Saccharomyces cerevisiae S288C: one gene and its partners. Changing the gene in region 3 together with the main gene of any one other region gives a genetic interaction. Each region holds a gene or a part of one and is shown on either strand. Other genes may lie near its edges. The genes, in order: NEM1, EMC2, ICE2 and SEY1.

Region 1 (8,118 bases), on a different chromosome or scaffold from region 3:
CACCCAGAAGTTCAAAGTCCATTTGCTTCTGTAACATCTCATTAATGGAAATCATATTGCTTTCCTTTGACTGATTGATTGCGTCCTCCTCGGTTTTGTCTGGCTCCAACAACGATTGCTCTGAATCCAATGGGTATGACTTATTTGTTTCTGTAGTTGTTATTGGATCGCCTGAAAGTGGAGATAGCGCTGAGGAGGCAGAGGATAATGCTGGAGAATCCATATGCAATGTGTATCTTGATGATTGATACTCTTGTGGTACAGAAGATGCATTTTGGGGTGACAAAATTGGGGGAGATATTATTGACCACTCTTTGAGATTTTGGACTTCTGTAGGTCCTCTTGATTGTGTAGTTTGTGTAGGTCTTGATATTTGTTTGCGTTCAAACCATTGAGTGCCTATTCCAAAATCGTTTTTTTCGGTTTTGGTTGGTATGATCTTGTCATTAGGGCGTTCCTTGGACTGCATTACTGTCGCTTCTATACAATTCTTATTTTGTAAAGCTGGTTCGGAAACACTTTCGTCGGATGAGATGAACCTTGTTTGGCCATCCGAAGTCTTTATCATTTTCATTTTAGACGTCTTTTTCTTCTCTCGTATTCCCTCTGAATAGCCTTCTGGTAAACCTTTGCAACTCCCAGCCTCAATGTGGTTTTCCACCCAGCTCTCACTAGTGCTAAAGTGTTCCCCACATTGAGTGCACACTCCAGGTGATTTATTACGGTCCTGAGGCTTAACACCTTCTGGGTAAGTGAAATGTCTAGATTTCAAATGTGTTTTGTAGGTATCTCTTCTGCTAAACCCCCCAGAAGTATGGCATCGCAATTCTTGCGAAATGCTATTATCAAAAAATGGACAGTGATAGGCCTTCCTTTTCGCATGCTTTTTTATGTGTCGTGTTAAGTAACCTCTGATTCGGAACCTAGCATCGCAATAGTGACATATATATGGTAAAGTTTCGGATGACTCATCAGCAATTCCTTGAACCTCATCGGATAGGGGAGATTCATCAATACTTTTCTTCGATGCAGGAGTGATTACGCTACTTACGGGCGTGATTGGAAGGAAATTAGAGGGGAAAAGAGCTTTGTACTGGTCATTATTGATATAGGATTCCTCTAGCGGGGGAGAACTTATCAAGTCATTCTGTAACTTTGCTGGCTCGCCGCGGCTAGGGCCCCGTAAAATCGGTTCGTCCAAGTTCAACTGTGTAGTGACTGCACCATTATTATCAATTTTAATTGAGAAAGGTGTTTCTAGGTTATCCAAATTTAAAGCACAGGGTACAACTGAAGATTTTGATGTTAGACTCAATTGTTTGTTGTTCTGTTTGGGAAATAATTCGCTCACGTCAACCAGATCGTCCTTTTCGGTAGCACAGCAGTCTTTCTGTGGATGGTTCTGTTTCGCAGGTTCTAACTTTTCGAAAGGAGTACTTTTCGAAGATTTGTCGTCTTCCACATTGGGCACAATCACTTGCTGCACTAATGCTTTAAGGTAGTCATATATCCTTGTTAACACGCTGTTCCGTGTTGAAGATAGTGATAAGATAGGCATGATAATGGATTTCCTTACTTCCCCAACTTTTTGCTCTCTTGCATTTGTCTGTTTGTCGGATGATTAATCACTGTTTTTCATTTATTAATCATCGTTTTTCTCGCTTTTTGCCCGTATTGGAATGTGAAGAGAAAAAAAAAATGATAAGAATTCTAAAAAAAGATACTCTTCGTTCGAATGGATGACTCTAAGAAGGGTAACAGACTTTCAATCTTCAAATAACATTATAATCTCTATTCTAGCCCTTAGAGGAGCATGTCATGCGTTCAGAACCTCCATTAATAGCTTACTTTATAACTTTCTATCAGTCACAAGTTAAACGTCGACAATTTTTGTGGGAAATGGTCTGTTTTTTTTCTTCAGTTAATAAATCTCGTTCTTGACTGCAGGTAATTAATGGTATCGTGATCGTTACCTATGCTTACACACTATAAGAATTTTCTTCGTGAGAATTGGCCCATTTCTCTGGTTCTTCTGAAGAGAGTTTTGCTGACCATCAATCAGCTTTACGAAAATTTACCGCCCAATTTCTTGCCAAAATGCCATCCATATTCCCATTCATTGGAATTCTTTCACTATTTTATCATTTCAATGTTCTTTGTAGCAACAGGCTCTTCTTTTTCACGCTTACTGTGATCATTTGTTATAAGTGCTGGTATTTTCTCTCTTCTGGAATTCCGTGCTATTGATATCACGACATGTGCGCTTCTCATGATTTTGCCGCCCAAGGCACATTTTGCCGTCTGTTTTTAACCTAATATTTATGTCGCGGGTATATTATCATATATTGCGTAAGAGGATGGTATTGCTGATGGGAAGTGGTCAACAAATTCAATAGGCACTGAAATGTAAGGGCTGACAATGTAATTGGATAAAGAAAGGCAACACATGAAAGGAAGAAAAAAAAAACGTTATTTATTATTATGTAAAACTATTGACCTCACCTTTGTGATTCACGCTGTCCTCGTGAAAAAACTTTTTTTGTTTTTGTAGACCTAATAAAAGAACCTTTTTTAACAATGTCCTAACAATAATTTCAACAGTTGCCAAACCTCAAATAGTGTTGGAATAAAAATCCACTATCGTCTATCAACTAATAGTTATATTATCAATATATTATCATATACGGTGTTAAGATGATGACATAAGTTATGAGAAGCTGTCATCGATGTTAGAGGAAGCTGAAGTGCAAGGATTGATAATGTAATAGGATAATGAAACATATAAAACGGAATGAGGAATAATCGTGATATTAGTAAATAGAAATATAGATTCCATTTTGAGGATTCCTATATCCTCGAGGAGAACTTCTAGTATATTCTGTATACCTAATATTATAGCCTTTATCAAAAATGGAATCCCAACAATTATCTCAACATTCACCCATTTCTCAAATAGTATGTTTTGGTGTTAAAGAAGAACATTGGAAACAAAGGAAAGGTAAGCATTAGCCCGGAAACAAAACAAGAGGAAGTAATATACACCTTTTTGGTTAACTTGTTCGTTCAGAAGAGCCCAAGTATGTAATTATTTTTTGCAAATCTTTCCTCAGTAACGATAACGACACGAAGGTAATATTTTAAAACATTTATCAACAAGTCACTAAATATAATCTGGGTCCTATCACTATTAGAGCTTCTATGGCCAAGTTGGTAAGGCGCCACACTAGTAATGTGGAGATCATCGGTTCAAATCCGATTGGAAGCATTTTTTGCATTGATTTCCCAATTCGTAGCTGATGATCACCCTCTGAAGCTATCGGACATTTTTTTTCTTTAATTTTTTCAGCGAGAGAGCTGGCAGTGAACGTACAAGAGCAAGCTCTCTAAAGAACTATTACTCTCCTCGTTCCCCTCTCATGTCTTTTAACAGATAAACAAGCAAAAGAAGGAACTATCATACTTAGAAAAACATGTCTTTCTTAGGTTTCGGTGGTGGTCAGCCTCAATTATCATCTCAACAAAAGATTCAAGCTGCGGAAGCTGAACTAGATTTGGTCACAGACATGTTCAATAAATTGGTTAATAACTGTTATAAAAAATGTATCAATACTTCTTATTCCGAGGGTGAGCTGAATAAGAATGAATCTTCGTGCCTAGACAGATGTGTGGCCAAATATTTTGAGACCAATGTTCAAGTCGGTGAAAACATGCAGAAAATGGGCCAATCATTTAACGCAGCCGGTAAGTTTTAGAAATGTGCATTAAAGCAGTAATGATAAGACGAAAATAAGAAAAGAAATCCATAAGCTGTTTTACTCGACTCAACGTTATAATTAGTATTATTGATTCATATCCTGTATATACAAGTAACATTATACTCTTTTCTGTACTTCATCTTTACCTTTTTATCTTACATGGCACATGTTGTTTGAAAACAAGATCATAGGTGGATAAAGCAAGCCGAATCTAAAAAAAAAAAAATGTCTCTATTGGAAAACTGAATGCATAACGATATTCCCTTTTCATGCAGATAACACTGACTAGTTTCAATTTGAAACGCATCTTCGTGTTATTTCACCGAAACGCACTCGGCTCAGCATGTTAAAAAGCACATCAATTTAGGGCTCTGCGCGTCCTTCTGCGTATTCTTCCTTGTAGAAATGCAATTAAATGGAGAGCAGAAATTTTTTTGTTACATATTGTTTTCCTTAAAGGGAAATATTAAAAAATAGTCTAAAATGAAGAGGATAGTAGAATTCCACCAATTTCTTTACGTTTTATATTATTCGTAATCTTTTGATCTGTTATTCATTTTTTCTTGTCACTCCGTTTCTAACATTTTTGACCATTTCTAAGACCAAACTGAGTAGAAGCTATTCATACTGTAAATTGGTATTTTAGCATCACATCAATAATCCAGAGGTGTATAAATTGATATATTAAGGTAGGAAATAATGGGGTGTACAGTGAGTACGCAAACAATAGGAGACGAAAGTGATCCTTTTCTACAGAACAAAAGAGCCAATGATGTCATCGAGCAATCGTTGCAGCTGGAGAAACAACGTGACAAGAATGAAATAAAACTGTTACTATTAGGTGCCGGTGAGTCAGGTAAATCAACGGTTTTAAAACAATTAAAATTATTACATCAAGGCGGTTTCTCCCATCAAGAAAGGTTACAGTATGCTCAAGTGATATGGGCAGATGCCATACAATCAATGAAAATTTTGATTATTCAGGCCAGAAAACTAGGTATTCAACTTGACTGTGATGATCCGATCAACAATAAAGATTTGTTTGCATGCAAGAGAATACTGCTAAAGGCTAAAGCTTTAGATTATATCAACGCCAGTGTTGCCGGTGGTTCTGATTTTCTAAATGATTATGTACTGAAGTACTCAGAAAGGTATGAAACTAGGAGGCGTGTTCAGAGTACCGGACGAGCAAAAGCTGCTTTCGATGAAGACGGAAATATTTCTAATGTCAAAAGTGACACTGACAGAGATGCTGAAACGGTGACGCAAAATGAGGATGCTGATAGAAACAACAGTAGTAGAATTAACCTACAGGATATTTGCAAGGACTTGAACCAAGAAGGCGATGACCAGATGTTTGTTAGAAAAACATCAAGGGAAATTCAAGGACAAAATAGACGAAATCTTATTCACGAAGACATTGCTAAGGCAATAAAGCAACTTTGGAATAACGACAAAGGTATAAAGCAGTGTTTTGCACGTTCTAATGAGTTTCAATTGGAGGGCTCAGCTGCATACTACTTTGATAACATTGAGAAATTTGCTAGTCCGAATTATGTCTGTACGGATGAAGACATTTTGAAGGGCCGTATAAAGACTACAGGCATTACAGAAACCGAATTTAACATCGGCTCGTCCAAATTCAAGGTTCTCGACGCTGGTGGGCAGCGTTCTGAACGTAAGAAGTGGATTCATTGTTTCGAAGGAATTACAGCAGTTTTATTTGTTTTAGCAATGAGTGAATACGACCAGATGTTGTTTGAGGATGAAAGAGTGAACAGAATGCATGAATCAATAATGCTATTTGACACGTTATTGAACTCTAAGTGGTTCAAAGATACACCGTTTATTTTGTTTTTAAATAAAATTGATTTGTTCGAGGAAAAGGTAAAAAGCATGCCCATAAGAAAGTACTTTCCTGATTACCAGGGACGTGTCGGCGATGCAGAAGCGGGTCTAAAATATTTTGAGAAGATATTTTTGAGCTTGAATAAGACAAACAAACCAATCTACGTGAAACGAACCTGCGCTACCGATACCCAAACTATGAAGTTCGTATTGAGTGCAGTCACCGATCTAATCATCCAGCAAAACCTTAAAAAAATTGGTATTATATGAAGGAACTGTATAATTAAAGTAGTGTTTAGATACGTAAATTCTGTTTCCGAAGATGCAAGAAGGAGCAGCAGCACCAGAAAAAATTACTATTTTTCTTCTCCATTAGAGTCTATGATGGAATGCCAAATGAAAAAGCCATTTTGTTCAACAGTTCTTGATCTCGTTAAATCGTTCCGGGTTTTCAATTGAAAAACAAGGGTAATAAAATCGCATGAGAAAAAAAAGGTCCAGACACTTTTTTAGAAGAAAAACTCTTGAAAACAATTGATTCTTCTACGTAAGGACAGGGTATTATCTCGAATTCTTCTCCCTGGTAAATACTCGGGATATATAGAACCTATTTTGCATCCTATTCTCACTTTTCTTTATTGTTGTTAATTTCTGGACATTGTTTCATTAATTGAATGAATGCCCTAAAATATTTCTCAAATCATTTAATAACTACAAAGAAACAAAAAAAAATCAATGTTGAGGTGACAAAGAATCAAGATCTACTAGGCCCTTCAAAGGAAGTTTCGAACAAATATACTAGCCACAGCGAAAATGATTGCGTTAGTGAGGTGGACCAACAGTACGACCACTCCTCAAGCCACTTAAAAGAATCTGATCAAAATCAAGAGCGCAAAAATTCTGTTCCTAAAAAACCAAAAGCTTTACGTTCCATCCTAATAGAGAAAATAGCGTCAATTTTGTGGGCACTACTACTTTTTCTTCCGTATTATCTGATAATCAAGCCCTTGATGTCTTTATGGTTTGTTTTTACCTTCCCACTAAGTGTCATCGAGCGTCGTGTAAAACACACCGATAAGAGAAACAGGGGTTCAAATGCTAGTGAGAATGAGCTGCCTGTCAGTTCAAGCAATATTAACGATTCTAGCGAGAAAACAAATCCTAAAAATTGCAATCTAAATACGATTCCCGAGGCAGTTGAGGATGACTTAAATGCCAGTGATGAGATAATTCTACAAAGGGATAATGTTAAAGGCTCATTACTTAGAGCTCAATCTGTCAAATCAAGGCCAAGAAGTTATTCCAAATCAGAACTATCACTTTCTAATCATTCAAGTTCTAATACCGTATTTGGTACAAAACGAATGGGAAGGTTCTTATTTCCAAAGAAGCTGATACCTAAATCCGTGCTTAACACACAAAAGAAAAAGAAACTGGTTATAGATCTCGATGAGACCTTAATTCACTCGGCTTCTCGAAGTACAACGCATAGTAATTCTTCTCAGGGTCACTTGGTGGAAGTGAAGTTTGGATTGAGCGGAATTCGTACACTATACTTTATTCACAAGAGGCCTTACTGTGATTTATTTTTGACAAAAGTTAGCAAATGGTACGACCTTATCATTTTTACAGCATCCATGAAAGAATACGCTGATCCTGTGATAGATTGGTTAGAAAGCTCCTTCCCATCCAGTTTTTCAAAAAGATATTACCGTTCTGATTGCGTTCTAAGGGATGGTGTTGGATACATTAAAGATTTGAGCATTGTCAAGGACTCCGAAGAAAACGGGAAAGGCAGCTCCTCTTCTTTGGATGATGTCATTATTATAGATAACAGCCCGGTAAGTTACGCAATGAATGTAGATAACGCTATTCAAGTAGAAGGATGGATAAGTGATCCAACTGATACGGACTTACTGAACCTGTTACCTTTCTTGGAGGCTATGAGGTATTCAACAGATGTCAGGAATATACTGGCATTGAAACATGGAGAGAAGGCATTCAACATAAACTGACAATTGTTATTGTGTCCTTCCAAAAAAGATGAGAATTTTAGGTGATAAATCGCCTATCCATTGCTGCTCATTTAATGGAAAGGTTATTGCATTCAGGGAAAAAAGTAACGGGAGAAAAAAGAGAAAAGACCTCTTTTTTGTTTTCTACATACGAGCATATTAATTATTTAGCAGGAAGATATACTTGATCTAAACAGTATATATATATATATATATATATATAGGTTGGGAATTAATCTTGAAATTTTTTTAGTCTTACGTTATCTTCAGCAGTGACACGCTAAATGCCCGTATCTTACTTTACATTTTGCTGTCAGGTTTTTTGATTTCTTTTTCATATTTTATGCAGTAGCGAAAAGAGACAAGACTATGAAAAAATTTTCTAGCGTTAGTAAAGTATTAATACTGCAATTAGTTAGGATAGCAGAACGAACAAATGGCAAATAATACGTGGAAGTTAATTGCTACTACAGCTCTTATATCGGTGTTTTCAACCCAAC
Region 2 (7,741 bases), on a different chromosome or scaffold from region 3:
GTCATTATCTGAATCTATACCTTTGAGCAAATGTGATGAGGTTGGTATAGGTATGTCAAATGTGTTATGTCCTTGGTTACTGAAACTGAATTCATCTGTGCTGTCATCTAAAATAGCATTCTTTCTCCCTACATCTCTATTTTTTATGATATGGCTTGTAAAATCTATAACCAAATCCTTATCTTTGTTGTCTCCGTTGGCAGAATTATTATTAAGGGAGTGTTCGCTATCTTCCTCATCAAAGATTTTTCTAGGCGATATTCTCTTAAACTTTCTTTTCTTTTTTATAGGTGACGATGATTGGGTTAGCTGGACATTTGGACGTTTGATTTCTTTTGCAGTTGGTGTCGAAATAACTTCTTTCTTATCTGCTAAAACATCACGATTTATATTGCCCTCTTCTAATGTAGTGCTTCCATTTTCCATGTTGATTTGTTCTTTTTCTTCCACACTATTACGTTTTACATTTTCGCCTTGTGCTCCATCAAGCACACTTATATTATGTTGAATAACAGATATATCTGTCTTCTCATTATAATCGTCAAGTTGAGGACCAGTACTAGATGGAGGTGACTCAAATAAAGGACACTGCCTTTGAGAAGCGGTTTTCGTGTTGATCACTTCTCTTTTCCCATTTTCGCCTAAAGTTGGAGAGACTTCGCAATTTTTCGTGATACTGTCATTGTCATTTTTTATTCTCTCAAATCGATTACGTGTCTGAAAGAAATAACAGTTCCCATTTTGAGAAACCTTATAATGTCGGCTCATCGGATCGTCATTTATTGACCAACCTTGTAACAACTGTTTGCAATAAATACAATAACAGGTATCGTTCATAAGTGTTTTATCCATGCTTGGATCGCCTAAGCCTTCTATGCTGGAGTCGTATCGCATGAGTCCTGCATTCACCATCTTTTCTATACCCAGCGGATGTTCATTTTGAGAACCACTGTGAGGCCAGTTATCTTGAAAAGTAAATTTTCTTAGGTTTATCACGTTTTCATCATCTGGATTGCTGAAGTACTTGTCATTTTTCCAGTCCGAAACCCCCATATGGAAGCTATAGTCCGTCAATAGCTTATTGCGCAAGTAAATAAGGAGGCAAACTTGTTTGTTATCAGTAACAGTCAGATGTTGCCTCATTATATTGCTTAGAGTCTCAAGAACATCTTTTCTTTTGGATCTGCAGTCTCTCACATTGTATGTTTGACGATGACAATAGCAACATCTTACAGAGTCTTTTTTCAGTTTAGATGTCTTAGGATCGATCACTGGATCAAAGTAAAATCCAAGCTTGGCCATTGCCTGATACGGAATAACTTTAAAACTCCACTTTAACTTTTTTTTTTCAAGTGCAACACCATCTTGGAAAGTCCTTAACCTATTCTCCAGTTTGGTCATGCTATATCGCTTCTCCATTTTATCTATTTGACCATCCATAATCCCATGAGGTATAAACAACCGATGTGTCCTCGAATGTTGCACGCCCAGAGAACTTTAGCTAGGCTTTCAACACTAATATGAAACCTCAATCAATCTGAAAGAACTATAGGACACACTATAACTAAAAGTGCTTGATGACCTTGACCGATGTGTGAAATGGGTATGTATTGCAATATTATACTAAACTGTTAATCTTCGTATCGCGTGATGTGTTAGAAGCGTTGACTAGTGAAGTTAAGTAAAGAGATTTGGATCGTTAATGAAATAAATAACTATGTATGAATGAAAGGCATTGGATCGCATTGGAACGGAGAAAATTATAGAAAGCAGTAGATAAAACAATGTTGAAGGATTTGGTTAGAGAAAAGCTTTTGACAATTATGAATACCAAAGCGTATACTCAATTTAATCCAGAACAATTACTGCAACTAGAAAATGAAATGAAAATTTACATGAAAAGCGGAGACTCTGCACTAACAGAAGGAAACTATTTCTTCTTGATGGAAATGCTTTTCTATGTTTTGGTGTACCGAAACCAAGACGTTGATGCGCAAGTTGTTTATAATACATTAAGAGATCGTCTTGGTGAAAATTCGTATAAAATGGTAATCATGAAAGCCACTTTATTGCAGATAAACGGAAATGATAAAGGCGCTATTGAATATCTGGAAAATTTGTTGAATGATGATCTGGAGTATGAAACGGACTTCGTTACTTATGTCTCTATTGCAAAGAAATTGATAGCTATCAAGACAACTTCCAAGAACTTGAGCCAAGAAAGTGTTCTTAAAGAAGTGGTAGCTCTTACAGATAAATTCCCGCTTGATGCAGAATTGTGGTGGTATGCCAGCGAGATTTATTTCGAAATGGGCCAATTTGAAAAAGCCTGTTATTGTTTGGAACAGGTCCTATGTATTACACCATTCAATTACGCTTGTTTTGGTAGGCTAAGTGAGACTCTGTATTATGAGGCTCTACGTAGCAAGAAACAAACCAAGACCGAGCTCTTGGAAAAGGCATTAAAGAATGCTTTGAGGAGCGTTGAACTTAGCGAACTATACCTAAAAGGGTGGGCATTGGTTAACATCATTTCTCGCGAACTGGGACGTAATAAACAAAATGACTTGATCAAACTATCTGCATCGAAGCTAAAGGAAATTTCTGCGAAGTCTAACAATAAAGATAAGATTACCGCTGAATTAATTTTGAATAAGATATGAACGGAGCCAAAATTAGAAGAAAAAAAAAGATAGGGTGAGAGAGGATATGAAAAAGCATGTATATTTTTTTTTTTTTTGGATTCTATTACTATCATTACATAAGCGTACAACAAACACTATTTGAGTTTGACATTTGGCTATTTTTTTGAGCATTTTTCAAACCCTCTATAAAATGATTTGATCCTGCTACGGGGTAGCCCCATAGTTCTGGTAATGTATAATCTTTTGTATTCGAGGTATAGTTTATTATTGTAAGACATGCATTTGAAGCAGTAATTCTTTCACGGCTGAGTTCTTTCCTCAGTTTATTGTTAAGTTCGTTGATTCTTTTTAACTTCAATTGTTTTATCTTTAAGGAAAGCTGTTGCTGTTGCTGTTGCTGTTCCTGAGGTTGTTGTAAGCGTGGAGAGTTTTGAACTGATGTCATTCTTAGAATTATTGAGAACGTTTGCGATTGCTACTATCCTAAAATTGACAGGTGCTGTCACAAAACATTTCTGTTCTCCTTGTTAAATATTGCATCAAACATTTAGAGCCTGAAACAAAAATCAACATGAAAACCGGGTAACAGGGAGACATTCACTCATCACATTGACAAATCATATTATATAGTGAAAAGCGTACGTAAATTTTGACTATAAAGCAAGATTTCAAGAGTTGCAGATGATATTAAGACTGTCATCAAGCCGGAAGAGAAGCTAGTACGAATATTTCTTGTCGTTTTTAATTTCTCTCTTTATACTCGTTCCAAAATTGTACGATGGCTGCAGTAAAACTGGTAATCTAGGATCACTACTGAGCATATTAGCATTAACGAATATTTCACTACCGAAATGCATATACTCTATTAGTTTTTTTTTTGTAAAGGAAAGTTATCAACATTCATTTTGACCCAATAAGTATTCAGAGGTTAATATTTTAGACGTGTCGCGCCCTACGGGGTTGATGAAAAGGTGGTATTTAACGAGAAGGGGGAGCAGATCACATGAAGTTATTAGGTAACAGCGGGAGACAAGACAGAAACGAAGTTTGAGAGAAAGGAACATCAGATCACACTATGGAACATCCAGCATATACATTGAGTCTTTTGACTACAGCCGGTGGCCTTATGGGATACTACCGTAAGGGCTCCATTCCATCTCTAGTATCTGGCTTAGTATTCGGTAGTGTATATGGGATTGCCGGTTACTTGCTACATATGAATAGAGATGGTGGGCTCGAAATGGCATTGGGTGCATCGACCTTACTACTTGGTGCTGGTGTCATAAGAGGCATGCCTTCCAGGTTCACTAAACCTGTCCCTGTCGTTTTGACAGCTTTGGGTGGGCTCGGCAGTTACTACTATTATAACAAATACAAGGAATTTTACCCTTAGAGAAGGAAGAAGACGCACGATATATATACGACCCTATATATATATATAATATGATATTCTTTTATGAACAAACTTTCTTTTTTTTTTCTTCGTTCAATTATTGACTATTTTTCTATCATTTGCTATGGGGAAAGGGCTCCTTCTTACTGAAAACGATGCAGCGGTTGGAGTGAGAAAGATAAGCACGCAAAAGCCCACTTGCTATAGCACTTGCTAGACGGCATTCTAGGGCATCCAACTGCTCCTCTTCGTCCTCATTGGCAGAACTATCGTGTTGTTTTGTTGCCAGAAGAATTTTCAAGGGCATGATACTTTTCCGATCATTCCCCCATTGCCAACATCGTTGTACCAACCGAGTGAAGACCACCTCTCGAAGTAATGTGATGACGACATGCAATCCTTGCGAAAGGAAAAATCTTTCATGGCTTGCTGCGGTAGCCTCGTACAGTGACAGGTTCCCTGAGATTACGCTACGCACTAATGTCGGATAAACTTGACTTAAGCGCTTACTCCTAGTAATTACTCCGGCGATTACTGGATGATCCCAGTGAGGGTACAACCTTTTAGTTAAAAGAGCAAGCGGAACCAGCAGTATCATTATCTTTTCCATTTGGCCCTGTAAGACGAACTTGCCGGTAGATTCCACATATAGCATTGGACATTGCAATAATGCTTCATTTAAATGGAAGAACCCGCGTTCGTGATCGTTTTCCAGACATCCGTAGTATTGACCTAGATAATAATTATACAACACCACTTGAGACTTATGTTCCATTGCCAGGCTTTTATTCAACGGTGGTATATCCCGGGCGTTCACTCTGCTCTCGAGGACTTTCACTAAATTTTTAATCATATCTTTATTACTTAACCGATGGTAGATGGAAAACTCTAGATTAGCAAACATATAACACCCGATTTTTTTATTTTCATTCAATCTTGGGTTCCTATCATTGAGGCATATAGTAAAGCTTCTATGGATAGTGCGTCCACATTCCTCAATTGAGTCTTTATTAAGTTCACTAGATTCGTTTGCCAGACGAATTAATTGTTTAGCCATTACCCACAGCGGATAAATTATCCAATTGGTTTCTCTTTCTACTATTCTGTTGAAAAGTTTCAACTGTTCATTGGCTAATCGCAGCAATTCCTCAGTAGCATTCTTGATCCGCCCTTGCTTCTTCAATGACCTCCGCTTGGAATACTTCAATTTTAGATCTACTCCTAATTGGTAAAACCTTTGTAATCGTACACTCTCTTCATCTGTCGCCGTAGGCCTTTGTAGTATATATTTAGTCTTTTTAGGTGTTTTAACGTCATATCTGATGAAGTCTAACAGTTTGTCGTCATAGCGTTTCTCTTCAAAATAACATCCTATATCAACATCCATGATTGGTTGTAGAAACCGTTGCTGGACCTTTCTGTTCCTGTGTAACTCTCTCCAGACATTCCTTTACATACAATTTTCTTTTTTTTTCCTGACCTTTATCGTTAGCTTTTTCAAAATCAAAAACAATACGATTGAGGAATACTACTAACTAGCCAAAAGCAATACAAAATACATCCATACATACGCCCTAAAGTAATGTCAGAAGACCAGCGTGTAATTAGTCAACCAATTGAATTACATAAGCTGTCGATTGTCGATAAACACTCCCAAGGACAGCAGCAACAGCCGCATCAAAAACAACATGAAGTGCAGCCTGAATCAAAATCACCAAGGGTTACGACACCTTTAAAGCCCAAAAGACTTGCTATACCTATATCAAGTCCGCAAAGATCTACGACAAATCAGTCACCCGTGAGCGACCACGCAAGTCCGATTTCAACAGACCAAGATTTAATATATAAATTAGCTGCAAAACACAGAGAAATCAATGAACTTAGTTTCAAATTAGAGGTCGCCCAAAAAGAATTAAAACAATTAGAGTTACAGTTCAAAGATACACTGCCCCGAAATGGACAACAGAAATTAGGTAACCAGAACCCAAGTGAATACCTCTCTACTTTTACCAAAAGAATTCAACAGACATTTGTGGACGTAAATAATTCACCAAATATGCTCAAGGGAAAAAAGAGTATAAACGATTTTTTTAGTAAGCCCAATAATAATGTTAATAGCAACATAAATAACACTCTACCCAATCGTAAACCGAACCCTCCGCCTAATCGGTCACAACGTATGCAAAATATTGCTCCAAGCCGTAGTTCAGAATCAACTCCAACATCGGGTCCTCCCTTGCTACCCCCAAGGAATACTATGAAGAATGCTAATACCACGGCAACTGCTGGGGAGAACACACCATTCTTACAAAGAATACTTAACAAATTCAATCAAATGAATATGGAAGAGGACGAATTCGATGACCTTTTGGAAAAGAGGAAAAGTAAGAAAGATCACTATTACATAAAAGAAAATTTGGGTTACGAATACGATGAAGTACGCAGTGAAGACGAGGATGATGAAGAGTTTGAACCCATGGGTGACATACCCGTTCATTTATTTAAAAGGTAGCTAATGTCCACTATTGATGCTTTCTCAAGAGACCTTCATATGTAATATTCTCATTAAATACAAAGATTAAACGGCTTCATTTATGCATTCCTTTATTTAGGTAAATTTTTTTTGCCCGATTTTTGGTACTACTGCTTTCCTTTTTTAAATGTAATTGATATTTTTAAAAAAACCTCACATGTAGGCGATTAACCCAGGTCCTTCAACAACTTGCCGACTATGCCATTAAATTAATGATTAAAGGTGTGTAAAGCCACAACGAAAGCAAAGAATATACGTAAGATAAACATCTTTAGAGAACAGCCATTTTCCATCATCTTTCCGTTTGTTACCAACCTACGCCTAGAAGAAAATGACTGATGAGCTGAAAAGTTATGAAGCATTGAAAGCGGAACTAAAAAAGTCCCTCCAAGATAGAAGAGAGCAAGAAGATACCTTTGACAACTTACAACAAGAGATATATGATAAAGAGACCGAGTATTTCTCACACAATAGTAATAACAACCATTCAGGTCATGGGGGAGCCCATGGGTCAAAATCACACTATTCTGGTAACATCATAAAAGGGTTTGATACCTTCTCCAAGTCACACCACAGCCATGCAGATTCTGCATTCAATAACAATGATCGTATTTTTTCATTAAGTAGTGCTACGTACGTGAAGCAGCAGCATGGCCAATCACAAAACGACTAATGCGATAGCACACGTTGGTATTTACGTTGCTTGACCGCTCTAAAACATCTGATTGAAAAGAAAAAGAGAGAAGAAGGAAATGATTTCGACAGGTGACCTTTAAGTTCGATATACCTACATATTGGCTATTTCTTTTATTTTTCATTTTCTATAAAATATCTATATAAGTATTTTTATAACGATTTACTAACAAGGGCAAAATTTCAAAGGTCCCGTGCTCCCAGTCATTTTATTGGCTGGCGAATAAACGGATACAGATAAACAAAACAGAAGCACAGAAAAGGATATCCACCCATCATGATAAGCCCAAGGGTGAATACTCGAGTTTGGCAGAGATCAATTTCTCTTTTGAGCCCACAAGCGGCCAAGACGGAGAGTAATGTCGTAACTAAAGAAAGGACATATATCGAGAACTTAAGCAAGGATATTGCGACTTCCCGTTTCAGGCTAGTAGACGAAAATGGTAAAATTGCATCTATCACTGTTCAACCAGATAT
Region 3 (8,323 bases):
CTGGTATTCTATTGAATGTAATTGATCAATCACCATCAACTCTATTGAGGACAAAAAATCGTCCTGCCTCTTTTTTTTATCTGTATTTTCTAAGATCATTTGAATACCCAATGGCGAACATACAATAATGTCAGACTGGTAAAAATTGCTATAAAGTTTTATAGCCTTTCTTGTGAATTTGAGACCGACAACAAAAAAATCGTTGGTGTTCCCCCTAAATATGTGTTGGAAAGATTTTGGTTTGGACTTTGGAGGTAAGGAGTCGTCACGGAATTGGTCGTAGAACTTTCCCTTCTTGTCAACCTGATCTATACCAGATTTTGAAATTATCTTATCTACAACGCGGTACGCCACCTCTCTAGTAGGGACTACAATTAACACTTTTGGTCTTGTAAAACCTTGATCTAGGTGTTCAGTGTCTGGGTTATCCTGTAATCTTTGATTATTTTTCAAGATTCTATCTCTTGTCTTGTAGATGTGATTCAAAACATGCAAAGCATATAAATCTCTGTACTCGTCTTCGTCCTTTTCGTAGGAGTCATACTCGTATAATATGTCTTTATACTGAAACATGGGGTCTACTAATTTTTTTTGCAAAGCAGTCAATGGATCAGTTTTTTTATCCAATAGTCCATTTTGCACTTTTAGCCTTTGTTTCAAAAAGTATGAATATATAGATGATGACCTGTACGGACTTTCCACCAATGCTTCCTCACCAATTACTACCGGTTTAGCATATATATATGATTCACTGTCACTTAGTGAGCCCTTTACGGATTTGTATTTTACACTTTTGGTCTTGAAAGCATTCGACAACTTATCAACGAATTTCTCCGGAACTTGGTTGAAATGAGACTCGAAAGGATCTTGCTCATCTTCACTGTCTATATCTTTTTCGTCTCCACTGCTGTCATCGTCGTTATCATCCTCGTGATTACCCAAAAGGCCATTCTCTATCTCCAATTGATCATCCACTGGTCCATGTTCTGTATTTTCGTGCTCATCCTCCCCAACTTCGGCAGGAGCTTTGTTACTCTCGTCAGCCTCTCGCCTTCTTCTTTTTGGCTCTGGATGTTCAGATTTGAGAATCGTCAATAAAGCGTCATAAACTTTTTCCTTTTTACCCTCTTCATCCTCAATATCGAAATCATCGCCACTGTCGACATCGGACACTTCATCCTCATCGGATCTATGGTCAATATCTTCTGCTACGTCCTCTAATGTTTCTGTGCTTCCGCCTTCAGTTCTGGCAGAAGATCTTTTAATCTTCCTCAGTTCTTGTCTTCCTCTTTTCCGATAGCCACGGAAATTATCATTCTTTTCCCTCACAGAACTGTCACTCATTACAATTTGGTCACTTCGCAATTATACCACCGTCTCACTGAACCAATGCAGTTTATTCCCTGTATTATATTATTGCAAAATATGCGATGAGCTAAATTATAGTAGTATTGCGAAGGAAAAATTTTTCAGATCATGGTACACGAGGAATCGCATCAGCTTGAAGCGAAGCAAGGGACTGGAGCGGTTACTGGTTTCGGAGAGATGATTGATGAGAAGATGAACATAGGTAAAGGATCGAGGTGTAGTGATACTGGAAGGGCTGTGCGTAAAGTGTTGGTGGATCTTATAGTATTCGTGAAGCTTCTTTTTCCGTTTTGCTCCCCTCAGCCCATCGCGTAATTGCTTAGATCTATTAGAGAGGTGCTGTTTGTGGCCGATCACGCTAAAGATTAGGCAACGATGACCAGTTTGTCCAAAAGCTTCATGCAGAGTGGACGAATCTGCGCAGCATGTTTCTATCTGTTATTCACACTACTTTCAATTCCAATCTCGTTTAAAGTTGGTGGTTTGGAATGCGGGCTTTCCTTCACGGTGACACTGTTCACTTTATATTTCATAACTACGACTCTTAACGTGTTGGCAAGACGACATGGAGGAAGACTATACATTTTTTTTACCAACTGTCTGTATTACTCACAACATTTTATCATTGCATCTTTGCTATACCTGTTTTTGTCTGGATTTTCTAATGATGAGTTGGGAAACGTTCTGAAAAATAAATATAATGAGTCGGAGTCGTTCCTGGAAGCTTTGAAAAATAGCTTGAATTCCAATCAAATTAACTACGTCTTATATTATTACTACTATCGATTTGTTGTACAACCGTGGCAATTCGTGCTTACCAAGTCCACACCTTTTTTTACTCTATCGGAAGGTTTTTTCACTATTTTAGCCATTCAGGCCGTCGGGGAAACTAATAGATGGTTATCAAATGACTTGAATTCAAACACGTGGATTATTTCCTCATTGTTAACCTCCGGAGGTGTGATTACCGCATCGCTGTACTATTTGTATCGGATTTATGTCACCCCCATATGGCCGTTATCCATCCAAACGGCGTCCTTATTAGGACTTGTTTTGTCTATGGTATGTGGACTGGGGTTGTATGGTATTGTGAGTCAAAAAGGATCCGTCATAGAGAGCTCTTTATTTTTTGCGTATATTGTTCGTTGTATTTATGAAATTTCCCCCAAATTAGCTACTACCGCGACTGATGAAATTTTAAATTTGTTCAAAGACGTCTGGCAGAAACATCAAAGAAATCTGCCCACAGCTGACAATCTTTTGTGCTACTTTCATAATGTCATATTGAAAAATGCAGAGGTGTTATGGGGGTCCTTTATTCCTAGAGGAAGAAAGAAAACCGGTGATTTTCATGATAAACTCATTAGCATTCTATCATTCGAAAAAGTATCCTTGATATCTAAACCATTTTGGAAATTTTTCAAGAATTTCACCTTTAGTGTTCCGCTATCCATTAATGAATTTTGTCAAGTTACAATTAAGATGGCAAGCGAATCAGTTTCCCCAGCTATAGTAATCAATTTATGCTTTAGAGTTCTGATGTTTTACTCGGCAACGAGGATTATTCCAGCATTACAAAGAAAAAATGACAAACAGTTGCGCAAGAGTCGCAGGATCATGAAGGGATTGTATTGGTACAGTCCTTGCATATTAATTGCTATGTATACTCACCTGATTTTACAATATTCAGGTGAGCTAAAGAAAGACCTGTGCATATGGGGTTGCAGTGAAAAGTGGTTTGGCGTAGATCAACCAGAAATTATAGTAGATTCATGGGGATTTTGGAACTGGTGCAACATTTTCTGTACTATTTTGGTATACGCTACAGAATTAATAGGTTCTGGTAGTTGAAGCTGATGCATTGTCAAAAGAGCCGCATTACCAGCTTTGCCAAATACGCGAAGACAAAAAGGAAGGTGAAATACCAACTGACTTATAACTAAGTGATAGATGATATCTGTTTTAAGTGCCATTCCTGAACCATTTTTACATTTGGTTAGTTTCTTTTTTTGTTATTATTTGCATTAGTCCCTTGCACGTTCATAGTGAAAATCCCTTACGCTCACCACTATTTTCTAATAAATACAATGAACATTTTAACTCATACTCTAATATGTAGACACATAAATATATAAATATATAACATTTCCCTGAAATACTACTTTTATTACGTGGTAGATTTTAACCTGAAGCCGATGCAGATTATTCTAGATAATTTTATTTCGGTTTTTTTTTTTCTGTTTTGCTAATTTCCAAGAACCCTTTTTCTTCTCTTATCACAACGATAAGAGGTACTTAAGATGATCTTCATCCTTGGATTATTATTCTTTCCCTCTTAGAAAAGTGAATAATGAGAAGAATCCATTCTTAAATTTGGGAATGCAACGTACGAGGGAATTGGAATCGAGTGTCGCAATAGACCAAACTGAAGTACCCCGATCTAGATTTTTTATAATGGTTAAAAAATTATCAAGAGTTGCCGATATCGTCTATATAGTTGACACATTTCTAATTCCGCCATTGCATCCTTTAAAGAAGCAGCATCCAAAAGTTGCAAAGTTTTTGAAGGTACAACTTGTCTTTGATTTGATATCACTGTTTATTTTTGCTACGCACCAACTCCTACTGCTAGAAGATGGTAACTTTGGGAAGCACTACTTCAAAAGGAAAACAAAACGGTGCTCGAAATTTTCGTGCTCTCGCTGTAATGCAAACGCTCACCACCCCAAGTGGTTCAAATTCAAACATTCACTCCTATGTCTAGGAACGTTCTGTTTTGGGGTTTATTCGTTGGTAAAGATTAATAAGTTCTTTAAAACTGATCAGACTGTTGATCTAAACAGACTCTTAGAGCTATTCTTTTGGCAACTTAATGCAATTCTTAATATGAAGTTATTCGCCTTTTACGGGGACCATTTAGAATCACATAGTGCGCCTCTTGATGTGTATGAGGATTCTTTTGCAAACAAATCATCGTCAGGCGGTGACGAGGTTTAACAACTGTAGTTTTTTCGATAGTATCTTGAATCTGGATAGCATTTAATTGCGATTGAAACAAAAATGGACTACTGCACACTGTCTAGCGTTCGATATTTTCGTGCCATTATCACATATGATCTTCGGAAAATGAAGCAGATTATAACATCGGCTGAATTGATTAAAAATGTTAATAGTCTCCGGAAGCTGATGCGTAAAGATTAACATTGTAGTGGGAGAGTGGGTGACAGGGTATAAAAACGCAGAGAGAAATAATTATTAAGAACGATATGAATTACTGACGTTTTTTAATTTCGTGTTTAGAAACACAGGTGAATCTTCAAATAATAATGTAAATTGCATTTTTTTAAAAGCAAATCTATGGATATATTGGGTATACTGTAAGTTCTCCTCGATAGTACAGAAAACCATAACAGAACATATAATTATATGTAATTGTTGATAATTAGAGGTTAAAAATTAGTATTAATGAAGAAGTGAGTACTGATCTTCTTATACTAAATAAGAGAGGTATATAAAACACACGCCGATTGGTCATATTAATTATGACCAATATAATAGTGATTCCGGTAGTTACTATACATTGATGTGACGACTCATATTCCTCATATATGTACCTACCATAACATGTTCAACTAATAGGTCTTTAACACAGCTTCAGTATTGTCTGAGCTTCTCGTTTAACATTCCTTCTGCAATAGGCGCAATCACACTTAAACGTATACGAGTTGTACATTAATATACGATGTAAGCATTAGATTGTTACCATAGCAACTCATGTCACTATTAATTACTCTCGTTCCAACAGTAATTACCGTGGTTATTAATACGGCTTGCTTATTTGTTCCCAGTTGTCAATGAACAGTAATTGAAAGGCAGTAATAATTAGGGATAAATACTGTATATTCTTATGGTATATAAGAGAGAAATGGGTGAATTTTGAGATAATTGTTGGGATTCCATTGTTGATAAAGGCTATAATATTATGTATACAGTATATATACTAGAAGTTTTCCTCGAGGATTTAGGAATCCTCAAAATGGAATCTGTATTTCTACATACTAATATTAAGATTATTCCTCATTCCGTTTTATTCCTTATTCCGTTTTATATGTTTCATTATCCTATTACATTATCAATCCTTGCATTTCAGCTTCCTCCAACTTCAATGACAGCTTCTCATAACTTGCGTCACCATTTAACACCGTATATGATAATATATTGATAGTGTAACTACTAGTTGATAGATGATGGTTGATTTTTACTCCAACAGGTTTTTATTCCTACAATTTTCCGGACATATATATATAAATAAAGATCATTCATATTTACTGATATGGTAACATGTTTTTCTATTCAAATCAAGCTAATCAAATCCGATGTAGTGTAACGGCTATCACATCACGTTCTCACCGTGGAGACCGGGGTTCGACTCCCCGCTTCGGAGTTATTTTTTATTCTTTTTTTTTTAGGGACTATTTAGGCAGTATTTTTACCACTAAAGCGCATGAAGTCACATTCTCTGAGCCTGCTCCATTTTTTCAGGGATCTTTATTGTTTAGCAGGGTAATACCTTTTTGTAAGTGCCATAGAATAAAGTATTAAACTAGTCGATGATCGCGTTAAGCATAAAACTTTGAGTCTGCTGTCTCTGATTCTATTTACTATTTACTATATACTGTTTTATACTTCTCTTGCATGACTATTGGTCCATTTAGGCTTCATCTGAACGGTTGAATACAGTTACATACAATGACAAAAACATCACAGATAGTCCGTAGAAGACTAGCAATAAGCTGCACCTTTTGTAAAATCTATCTTTTGGTGGAATCATCTTCCCAATAGCCAAAGAATCCAAGCCTATTAATTTGTAACCTAATAATCCAGGTAAAGTGAATGAAATAGACGTTGAACCTGTAGCCCCTACAAATGAAAGAACCAGTGCAAATGACTGGACAGACAACGCCAAGGTATACATGCTTATTAGTAATAATGCAGTAATCCAGTAAAATCTAGACTTAACAAATGGCGCATGATGCTCGTTATCCCCGGCGACCGCCATAGTCCCTCTTTCATCATTATTGTTCTCTTGACTTTCAATTGAACCATTATCAAAGTTCCCGTTAGGTAGTAAACATTCTTGCTCGTTATAAGAAGTTGCGTCTAGTGCATCACTGGGCTGGGCTGGATCTTCCACAGTCATGCTAATTGGTCTTAGGTTGGAAGCACGAGTGTATTCCGAAACTTGTGGGTCCTCTTCGGGATTTGCCCCACCATAAGTGATCTCAATCCAGATGATGACATTGTTAACTGCTATGCGCAGCGGATGAAAGAGAAGCGGGAAGGAAAGAATTAACATTGAGCCAAGACAGAATTTGCCAATTACTATCCAAATTGAGTTAGGATCGTAGTTCAACATTAAATTACCCAAGGTTTCATTACCGAAGGTTAAATATCCTGATAAACCAACGATCAAAAATAGTGCTGTTGATAAGGATATCGAATTATTGATAACGAAAGTGATATTTTCCATGCTGTTGTCTTTTAATTCATTTATCATGGGGAATAGGTTCATTGATCCCGTAAAAGCAAAAATTATAATGCTAAAAGTTGATAATAATCCTTTAAAGTCGTGAATTTTCCACCAGCATATGTCATTTCTTAATATATTTGTTAATTCACCCTTTCCCAGCTCAAACACAAAATGACTGAACACCAGAATTGATATGTATGCTAGCGCGAAAAGACCTAGAATACTAGAATACTTCAATTGATCTAGTTTCTTCACTAAACATAGGGGAATGATGATTACAGCTGATGCAATTATCCAATAATTTCTTTCACCACCAAACAGTCCTGGAAAGAGATCACCAATAAGAACTAAGTAACTTAAGCCCACACCAAAGCATTGAACTATCATTGCCAAATCAAAAATTGGGGCCAAAGTGGGATAGGTGAGCATGCATAATGTGAAGAAAGAAGAGTTTCTTGGATTAATTAAGGTCTTGGAACATTTCGATAGCACAAAGAGACCCAGACCGGATGTTACCGCCGCCAATAATGTAAGAATAACCCCTACCAGAACACCATCGCTTTTAAAACTGTACGGAATGGCAAGTGTACCAGCGCCAACTATTGTCTTAACGAGATTCGCCGTAGACGAAAGAGCACTTGATGTAGCCTCCATACCTTAGAATTCCTTTTCTCTTTGATGCTATGTCCTGATTGTAGAATTCGCCTTTCCGTTGACGCTTGTTCTTGGCGTCTTATCTATTTGAGGGTCAAATCTGACTTCGGATGAAGAAGTTATGAACGTATGATAAGAGGTGAAAGATGTGGAAGCAAATCCATTCATGTTAAGTCACGTGGTTCATACAGATAATACAGAGGATACAAAATTAAATATTAAGACATTAATAGATGTAAGCATCACTGGAATCCGGTAGCAAGGAACCGTTGGCCATAAAGGACTGCGTTGGCCAATGAAACCGAGGATAGCACCAACGGCCAAGTTCTTCCATATCTTAACGCACTAAAGGACTTCTTGCCCCCTACAATCAAATATAAGGCGGACCATGTAGCAATGAAGCCAGCCCCATTTTCCAAGTCGTTGTCATAGATCATGTATGCACCTATAGCTTGCATTGTAGAAAAGAAAAGGGCGGTTTTAGTAGTTATACCGATTCTGGCAGTAGAAGATTTAGAGAATACCCTAGACATTGGTATCGAGAGGGCAGGAGATTGCGTTGGAGGCACTTTAAAGCTTGGGGATAGCACCGGAGTGGATGCTAATAGTGCTGCGTTTGCGAGCGCAGGATAAGGTGTCCTTGTCAATGCATATAGCCGGCGAAATGGTGATAGAAGTTCATCTTTGGCATCGTCAGTAGCGGGTTTAGCAGACATTTCTTGTGTGTTAAGTATATTGGAAATCGTAGTTTATAGAATCTTTTCGTCAGAT
Region 4 (8,819 bases), on a different chromosome or scaffold from region 3:
CTACTTTCCCTTAATGGAACTTCTTCCGATATATTTTCACCTGTGTAATGTCCAAGTGGACCAAGTTCTTCTTCTACAAAATTGATAATTCGCTTGGAATAAGCTTTCAAATCCGGGAATTTATCTCTATCATAAAGAGTTAACAACATTGGCCTTGTAAGTTTTAAATATCTTTTCAGCTTCCCCTCATATGTTTTACTTTTACTATTCAATATGCAATGATCTTGGTTTTCGTCTAGATAAAATTTGTTAATCAATAAGGGTCTACCAACGTTACAAGATATGTTATAATCGATAAATATTGCCATTAACCAGACATTTTCTAAACTTTCGATGCTACCCATAAAAACCTCATGTTCCTTGAAAGTTTCTCTAATGTTTAAATGCAACCCTATTGTAGTAACCGTAGTAACTAAACATTCATTTATATTAACCAAATCGGAGCCATCTCCACCGAATGAATATGTTTCACGATGGTAGTAGAAAAGTATTAACATTTGTGCACGCTCAATGTAGAACACCTTAGCGGTGGAGGCCCCCTTTAGTAAAGTAAAGAACTTCTCAATTGGGGTTGGGACATCTGTATGGAAGTATTTCAGACATAGGATTAATAGTATCACAGCAGCTTTGTAATAATTTTTCTTTGGATTGGATAAAATATAAACTATGGATCTGTCACCTTCCGCCTTTACCTCTTTTTCGGGCATGAAATAATCTAAAAAGTCTCTTCTAACTTTTGCCTTATCAAGAATCACGTTGATCTCATTGCATGCTCCATCATTAAAGAAATCATCTAAAATAGACAAAGCTTTGTTATATGATGGTAGGAAACGACATATCTGTTTGATTAATGGATCTGGCTGCCAATCCGACTCATCCAAAAGGCCTAGTTCCCTGCACATCGTTTTTTGGTTGTTTTGCTTCCATTTATTTCTTTCTACTTTAACCTTCGCCCATAATTGTTTATATTTTTCAATGAACCCCCAATTACTATTTGCAATTTGGGTTCTCATAGAAGTGGGGCCGTATAGTGTTGATCTTCCGGAATGTTTACTTTGTAGGTAGTACCGGTCGGCATATGGATTTATTACACCATCGGGTAATGGAGATGAAGTTTCAGTAGAACCTCTACCTACACTAGTGCCTAAAGGAGGGAAATTTGGCGAAGTGTACATGGAGCTCGCAGACGAATTAGTGTTTTTTTCAGCTTCTAGAATACGTATTTTGTTTTCTAGTTCTTCAACTTTCTTAAGTAAATCGGCGTTAGGATAGGGACCATAGGTAGCTTTCTTTTCGATGTTTTTGTTGAATTCTTCAGCATATTGACAGGTTGTTAAGTTTCTAGAAATGCATGTAGAACACATAGGTTTTTGCTGATCACAACGAAGTTTTCTCCTTCTGCAAAAGCCACAAGATTTTATAAGCTTGTTTCTCTTCTTACCGCTAGTAGAAGTTGGTGTTCCTGAGTTACTTCCATTGGCTCCACCGGCCGTACTATTACTATTATCGCTTGGCGGCGTAACGTTGGTGGCCTGGAAACTTCCCAACAAAGCATCGCTTCTTCTTTTCATTGTGACGCTATTCTTATTGGCACGGCTGAGGGCAATAAACTTTCCCACTTTCTCGTTGATCTTGTTGTTCCTTTGATCTAACTTTTCTCTTGTAATTCCGAATTTTTGGCGTTTTGGTAATTCCAAGGGGAAGTTGTCTATTACATACGTCTAGTGATGTGGAATACTATAAATGTCTTGGTATTGTTATCCTTTTCCCCGTATATCAGCCTCTACCCCATTAGTAATATGGCATGGAACCTTTTAACGTTTTTCTAATTTCCGCGGATTTAACTCCGTTCACTATGATTTCTGCCAGTATGATACTGGCAGAAATCTACATTCGCTATATATAAAGAGGATATACTGGTAATAACTACAGCTTCCATGTGAGCTTAAAACGATCATGCTCATCTTTCTTCATCTTGATAGAGATTGGTAATGCTGTCATACTCCCGTGATTATAAAGCAGAATGAGAAATATTGAGACAACCGTAAAAACAGCTACTGCCCAGAATTTAAACCTTCAAACTTCATCATCAGAAAGGTATACTGTGTAAATAATGCGTAAATAGTAGGAGCATGGTGTTCTCTTGTCGTTGAAAGAACATCTGCGGCGAGCACGTGCGGCTTAATTCTCAAACGTCTCGCGGAGGTAAATAGTGTAAAGGGAAGCCTCAACTTTAAGACATGAAATCACACTGAAATAACGCCTGAAAGGTCAGGAACAGTGAGTACGTAGGAGTATAAGAGCGTGGGGAAACACAAAATGGGCAAAACCGCGGATAATCATGGTCCAGTACGTTCTGAGACAGCACGTGAAGGAAGAGAAAACCAGGTTTACTCACCCGTTACAGGTGCAAGATTAGTTGCTGGCTGCATATGTTTAACACCCGACAAGAAGCAAGTTCTCATGATTACTTCTTCTGCACACAAGAAAAGATGGATTGTCCCCAAAGGTGGCGTTGAGAAAGACGAGCCTAATTACGAGACGACTGCCCAACGAGAAACTTGGGAGGAAGCTGGTTGCATAGGTAAAATTGTCGCCAATTTGGGTACAGTTGAAGACATGAGACCCCCTAAGGACTGGAACAAAGACATTAAGCAATTCGAGAACTCTCGAAAAGATTCAGAAGTAGCAAAGCACCCGCCAAGAACCGAATTTCATTTTTATGAATTAGAGATTGAAAATCTCCTTGATAAATTTCCGGAATGTCACAAAAGACATAGAAAGCTATACTCTTATACAGAAGCTAAACAAAACTTGATAGACGCCAAGAGGCCTGAATTGTTGGAGGCCCTTAATAGGTCTGCTATCATTAAAGACGACAAATAGCTAGCACATACATATATATGTATATACGTCATGGTCGTCAAGCCACCGCAAACATATTTATCTATTCCTTCGCAAATATGCTCTTTTCACTTCGATCCGCCCAGGAATCCCGACATCATGTCTTGTAGGAAATTCGTTTGTTTAGGAGCAACAATATTGAAATATTCCTGGCCCAAAAATTCTAACTCACTTTTGTAAGCTTGAGAAAAATCTAAATAATGGTTCTTTAAATTCAAGAAATAGCTCTTATCCTTAGTCTGACAGGTAATTAGCAACAATTGCAAAAAATTTAGGTCGGAATAATCTTCAAAAAAAACTATTTCATAACCATTTTTATCAATTTTCTCGTACTTGGGGTGAAATTTCTCAATAAATCTTTCCAAAAAAATGTCTTTTGATTCATGTGCAAATGATATGTTAGAGATGAATAAATAGTTGAAAACCAATCTGCTGAAGAACTCAGCCACCGTGCTATCTTCGATATCATCAACTTGGCATAACCAGTCCCATAGTAAATCGACATATTTGATCATTGAATCATGTGTACCTAACATAAAATATCTCTCAGCTTCATAAACGAAATCTCCCTCTAATAGTTTGCTACCAATGGTGTTGTGCAAGTAAGGATCTCCAAATTTGTATTCACTAAATTTGATAGACCAATTGTTCATACCAGTAATAACGTCCTTTAAATTGGGCTCGCTAGGATCCAATTCGGCTATTAATCTAACCAATCTAGCAACTGAGATGTCATCAACTTTAACTTCCGCTAAATCATAAACTTCTAAAAGATAGAAGATCAAATCCGTGCCTGAACCGCCCTGCTTCGCCTTTAAAAATGAAAGGGCCCCTTGACTAATTAGTTCTATGGCATGCTCGTATGATTTACTTCTAACATATCTATTAGCAATAGTTCTCAACGTTTGATGCGCTTCGTAATAATCTCCAGCTTTGATCTTATTTTCGAATCTTTGTAAGGTTTTAGCGAGTTTCGCTTGTACAGCATTAGATTCAGCAGGAACCATAGCTTGTTATTATTATTTATGTCCCTTTATGATGTTTACTTGGTTGTTTTACCGCACATGTTATTATTTCATTTTTTTGACTTTCCTTTCACTTTTTTTCCCATTGTTTGTTACCTTAACGAAGAGCGACAAAACGAACAAAATACTGAAAGGTGTATTTTGATGGTAAATAATTATTGACTTATTTCAACAAACGGGCTACTAACTCACTCGACGGTTGACATACTTTAGTCATGGCTGATAGACCTGCTATTCAGTTGATAGATGAAGAGAAGGAATTTCATCAAAGTGCATTACAATATTTTCAACAATGTATTGGAAATCGTGATGTTGGTCTAGATTACCATGTCATCTCAGTTTTCGGTTCTCAATCGAGTGGTAAATCGACTTTACTTAACGTCTTGTTTAACACCAACTTTGATACCATGGATGCTCAGGTGAAAAGGCAGCAGACTACTAAAGGCATTTGGTTGGCTCACACTAAACAGGTTAATACAACTATTGAAATCGATAATGATCGTCCAGATATTTTTGTGCTAGATGTTGAGGGCTCCGATGGTTCAGAAAGAGGTGAAGACCAAGATTTTGAGAGAAAAGCCGCTTTATTTGCCATTGCAGTATCTGAAGTTCTTATAGTTAATATGTGGGAGCAGCAAATTGGGCTATATCAAGGTAATAATATGGCTTTATTAAAAACAGTTTTTGAGGTCAACCTTTCCCTATTTGGCAAGAATGATAATGACCACAAGGTGCTGTTACTTTTTGTAATTAGAGATCATGTAGGTGTGACTCCACTCTCGAGTTTGAGTGATTCCGTTACGAGAGAATTGGAAAAAATATGGACAGAGTTAAGTAAACCTGCTGGTTGTGAGGGTTCTAGCCTGTATGATTATTTCGATTTAAAGTTTGTCGGGCTAGCTCATAAGTTGTTGCAAGAAGACAAATTTACCCAGGATGTCAAGAAATTAGGTGATTCGTTTGTGATGAAAGGTACGGAAAACTATTATTTCAAACCTCAATATCACCATAGGTTGCCATTAGATGGTTGGACTATGTACGCAGAAAATTGTTGGGATCAAATTGAACGTAACAAGGATTTAGATCTTCCAACTCAGCAAATTCTGGTTGCTAGATTTAAAACTGAAGAAATATCTAATGAAGCTCTAGAAGAGTTCATTTCAAAATATGATGAATCGATTGCTCCTTTAAAGGGTAACTTGGGATCTTTAACATCTCAGCTAGTGAAGCTAAAAGAAGAATGTCTGACAAAATATGATGAACAAGCATCGCGCTATGCAAGAAACGTTTATATGGAGAAACGAGAAGCTTTAAATACAAAGCTGAATTCACATATTTCAGGTACAATTAATGAGTTCTTGGAATCATTAATGGAAAAGTTATGGGACGATTTAAAATTGGAGGTGTCTTCTAGAGACAAAGCTACTACCTCTTTTGTAGAAAGTGTGGCGGCAGGTAAGAGTAAGATTGAGAAAGAATTTAACGAATCAATGGAGACCTTCAAAAAGTTAGGGCTACTAATATCAAACGAAGAGATTACCTGCAAATTTTCCGACGATATTGAAGAAAGAATCAAGCAACTACGTGATGCTGAATTGAAAGCAAAAATCGGTCGTATTAAAAAAAATCTGGTTCCCGAATTAAAGGATCATGTGATTCATTTACTATCACATCCATCCAAAAAGGTTTGGGATGATATAATGAACGATTTTGAATCTACTATCAAAGACAATATATCTGCGTATCAAGTGGAAAAAGATAAATATGATTTTAAAATTGGACTTTCAGAGAGCGAAAACGCGAAGATTTACAAAAATATTAGAATATTGGCGTGGAGAACCTTGGATACCACAGTACATGACTACCTGAAAATAGATACGATTGTTAGTATATTGAGAGACAGGTTTGAAGATGTATTCAGATATGATGCTGAAGGTTCTCCAAGATTGTGGAAAACAGAAGAAGAGATTGATGGGGCATTCCGTGTTGCAAAAGAACATGCCCTGGAAGTTTTTGAGGTTCTTTCACTTGCTGTAACCTCAGATAACGTTGAAATTATTCCTGATGTACCAATGGCTGAAGAGGAAAGCGGCGAGGACAACGAAATATATCGGGACAACGAAGGTGTGTTTCATTCCCGTCGTTTCGCACACATCTTGACTGAATTGCAAAAGGAGAATGTTTTAGATCAATTCCGCAGGCAGATTAACATTACTGTTCTGGATTCGAAAAGGTCTATCATCACTACTAGAACGCATATTCCACCTTGGATTTACGTTTTGCTAGCCGTATTAGGGTGGAACGAATTCGTGGCTGTCATAAGAAACCCCTTATTTGTAACCCTTACCTTGATCTTAGGTGCAACCTTTTTTGTTATTCATAAGTTCGGCCTCTGGGGCCCTGTTGTTAATGTTGTTCAAAGTGCAGTTGGTGAAACAAGAACTGCAATAAAGGATAAACTAAGGCAATTTGTCGTTGAAGATCATGAAGTGAAGGAATCTTTTGAAATGAAAGATTTCTCAAAAAACGAGCAAAAAGAAAAATGATATGAAAATATTTTTTGATCGAATAATTTATTTCAATTTACCGTGTTTACTTTTTTGTTATTATAGTTATTATTATAATTACTGTTCTCCTAACGTGTCTGTGTGTTTGTATATAACTATAGGGAACTATTTATATGACATTAAAAATATATGCAAATGCATATCGCAAGCTTATGAGTTGTGTGAGTGGCTTCAATAAATCTGATAGATTTACACTAAGCAAAACATTTCAGGTTGATATAGCATTGATAGATGTTTTCCATTCATGAATCTGTTTCTCTAAAGATTGTTTCTCCTCATTTGTGAATTTGCTGAATAAAAAATGCAATACAGTCTCCCAAAATTGTTCAAATGTTCTTAAGTCATTCAGATTTGTCGGTTTTGATTTCAAAACTGTTGGTAAGCTCTTCCACTCATTCTTCTTTATCTTTGAACAAGTGAAAAGTTCCGAAAATACAGACACCCAAAACAAATAAATGTAATTCGAAGCGTTTTCTATGGTAGTTAATTTATCTGGGTTGTAATCTATGAATCCAATATCTTCACCATATTCCTTTCTTAAAGTGTGGTCAATAGCAAAGAAAATAGTTTCTTTTACTTGCTCAAACACATTTTGTGAGACTTTATCGAATTGCAAAGGGGGCGTTTCTATTCCAGGAATATGAGCATATGATGTGACATTCTGATCGAAATTATTTACTGTAGAGTCACGCAGATTAGCAAATCTCAGTTGGTTTTCTTCATATGCTCTCATTGCAATTATTTTCGCATCCATGTTCTTCCTAAATGAAACAGTTAATATATCTTCAGTTAATGCCTTTGTACAAAGATTCTTATCATTCGAAAGCAAAATAACAAAACAATTTAAAATCTCTTTGAAGTACAAGCAACAGTCCAATATCGAGTCATCCTTTAAACTGCCTGGATTCAAGCTTTGTTTCAATTTTTGACCTATTAAACCGGAATCTAAATTGGCTAGATTCTTATAAATCCAGTCGTTCCCCCATCTGGCCAATGTGCCTATTGTCCTATCATGTTCCTGATTAGTTGTATCGTCATTGTCCCTAGCAATATCAGGGCTCTTTTTTAGTCCGTCCAGTTCTTGGATTACGGTGGTTGGTACAATAATCAAATGATGATAAGTGCTGGACAGTGATCTCAATTTTTCTAAAGTGTTTAGATGCGAAATAATAAAGTTGGTGTCGACTACAAAGGCAGTTTTCAAAGTAGGTGGATTTAACAGCGGTAAATCGTCATTGATTTTTGGCATATAATTAGCGACAGATTGTGCTTCCATCTCCCTCTGGCTAGAAAGATATTCAGAAATCATTTCAACGTCGCTTTCATCATTCAAGTCACACATCGGAATATCGCCTTCTTCGTCGTGATTTATACAGCCATTACTATCGCCTGATTGGCCTCTATTTTCATGTGAAGATGTGGATGCTATGATGTTGTCGATGTCTTGTACCGTATATTTACCGTGTGGTCTTAAGCTAGCGATATCTTTAATCGATTCGGAGATTTTGTGAGATACCGAACCATTGAAAGTTTCTGATCTTATATGGTTGTTACCTTTTGGAAAAGCTCGTTTCTCATCGGTCATGGATTTGGTAAGCAGCTGGAGCCACTAATGTTAGGCCTACGTATATAAAATTCTTGTCTACCATAGAAGGCCCATAACAACTAACGCGGAAGAACTCAATATACCCAAAAAGTATATCAATGCGGGTATGGTTTTTCGCACCTAAATAATTAGTGAATATATCACGAGTTACAATAGAGTTATTAGTATTATTGTATTATAGTGATGTACTATTTAAAGAAGACATATATAAGAAACAAAAGGCACAAATATATAAGATAGATTTTGTATAGCTGCAACCTTCAATCTGCAAATAAGCTTCCTAACGCAAACGACGAGCTTCACGTTCAGATTCCATTAGAACCAAAATGTCGTTTTCTCTAACTGGGCCCTTCACGTTTCTGACAATAGTTCTGGAAGTGTCTTCCAAGAATTCGACACGGACTTGGGTGACACCACCACGAGAACCGGTTCTTCCTAAAACTTTGATGACCTTGGCTAAAGTGACTGGGGTTTTGTTATCCATGATTGCTAGCTTGGTTTTCTGCTTTTGAGAAGAATCGAAAACGAACACAACTGTAATTTACAATAAATCATCTATTAGACTGAAATTTCATTTTCTTTATTCCAAGTAGTTCAACGACCAAGAAAAAAAAAATTTATCAAAAAAGTGCGTGGTCACTCTAGACGGCCGCGTCTGTACAAATGAAAAATTTGACATCGCAGGGTATAAAGATTGGGATTGATATGCTTAAAAGG

The links.
Region 1: mutations in ICE2 (region 3) and NEM1 together harm fitness less than expected from each alone (positive genetic interaction), as found in Saccharomyces cerevisiae (5 studies listed by BioGRID, with this or other methods).
Region 2: mutations in ICE2 (region 3) and EMC2 together harm fitness more than expected from each alone (negative genetic interaction), as found in Saccharomyces cerevisiae (4 studies listed by BioGRID).
Region 4: mutations in ICE2 (region 3) and SEY1 together harm fitness more than expected from each alone (negative genetic interaction), as found in Saccharomyces cerevisiae (6 studies listed by BioGRID).

What each region holds. Positions count from the first base shown.
Region 1 is NC_001140.6:111,254-119,371, reverse strand, and holds NEM1 (Nem1-Spo7 phosphatase catalytic subunit NEM1), read left to right. Parts: upstream 1-6,277; coding exon 6,278-7,618; downstream 7,619-8,118. Other genes in the region: STP2 (Stp2p), read right to left, coding at 1-1,558; protein transporter TIM10, read left to right, coding at 3,471-3,752; GPA1 (guanine nucleotide-binding protein subunit alpha), read left to right, coding at 4,455-5,873; TCD1 (tRNA threonylcarbamoyladenosine dehydratase), read left to right, coding at 8,055-8,118. UniProt on the Saccharomyces cerevisiae protein: Catalytic component of the NEM1-SPO7 complex which acts as a phosphatase and dephosphorylates the phosphatidic acid phosphohydrolase PAH1. Essential for the formation of a spherical nucleus and meiotic division.
Region 2 is NC_001142.9:581,417-589,157, reverse strand, and holds EMC2 (Emc2p), read left to right. Parts: upstream 1-1,784; coding exon 1,785-2,663; downstream 2,664-7,741. Other genes in the region: BIR1 (survivin), read right to left, coding at 1-1,440; STE18 (Ste18p), read right to left, coding at 2,758-3,090; TMH11 (Tmh11p), read left to right, coding at 3,721-4,038; YJR084W (uncharacterized protein), read right to left, coding at 4,154-5,425; ACF4 (Acf4p), read left to right, coding at 5,621-6,550; EAF6 (Eaf6p), read left to right, coding at 6,903-7,244; AIM24 (Aim24p), read left to right, coding at 7,542-7,741. UniProt on the Saccharomyces cerevisiae protein: Part of the endoplasmic reticulum membrane protein complex (EMC) that enables the energy-independent insertion into endoplasmic reticulum membranes of newly synthesized membrane proteins.
Region 3 is NC_001141.2:191,852-200,174, forward strand, and holds ICE2 (Ice2p), read left to right. Parts: upstream 1-1,743; coding exon 1,744-3,219; downstream 3,220-8,323. Other genes in the region: rRNA-binding ribosome biosynthesis protein UTP25, read right to left, coding at 1-1,344; YIL089W (uncharacterized protein), read left to right, coding at 3,748-4,365; AVT7 (Avt7p), read right to left, coding at 6,080-7,552; AIM19 (Aim19p), read right to left, coding at 7,795-8,268; YIL086C (uncharacterized protein), read right to left, coding at 8,302-8,323.
Region 4 is NC_001147.6:640,422-649,240, forward strand, and holds SEY1 (dynamin-like GTPase SEY1), read left to right. Parts: upstream 1-4,144; coding exon 4,145-6,475; downstream 6,476-8,819. Other genes in the region: YRR1 (Yrr1p), read right to left, coding at 1-1,571; polyphosphatase DDP1, read left to right, coding at 2,320-2,886; protein GET4, read right to left, coding at 2,973-3,911; SWT1 (mRNA-processing endoribonuclease), read right to left, coding at 6,705-8,081; 40S ribosomal protein eS28 RPS28A, read right to left, coding at 8,383-8,586. UniProt on the Saccharomyces cerevisiae protein: Cooperates with the reticulon proteins RTN1 and RTN2 and the tubule-shaping DP1 family protein YOP1 to generate and maintain the structure of the tubular endoplasmic reticulum network. Has GTPase activity, which is required for its function in ER organization.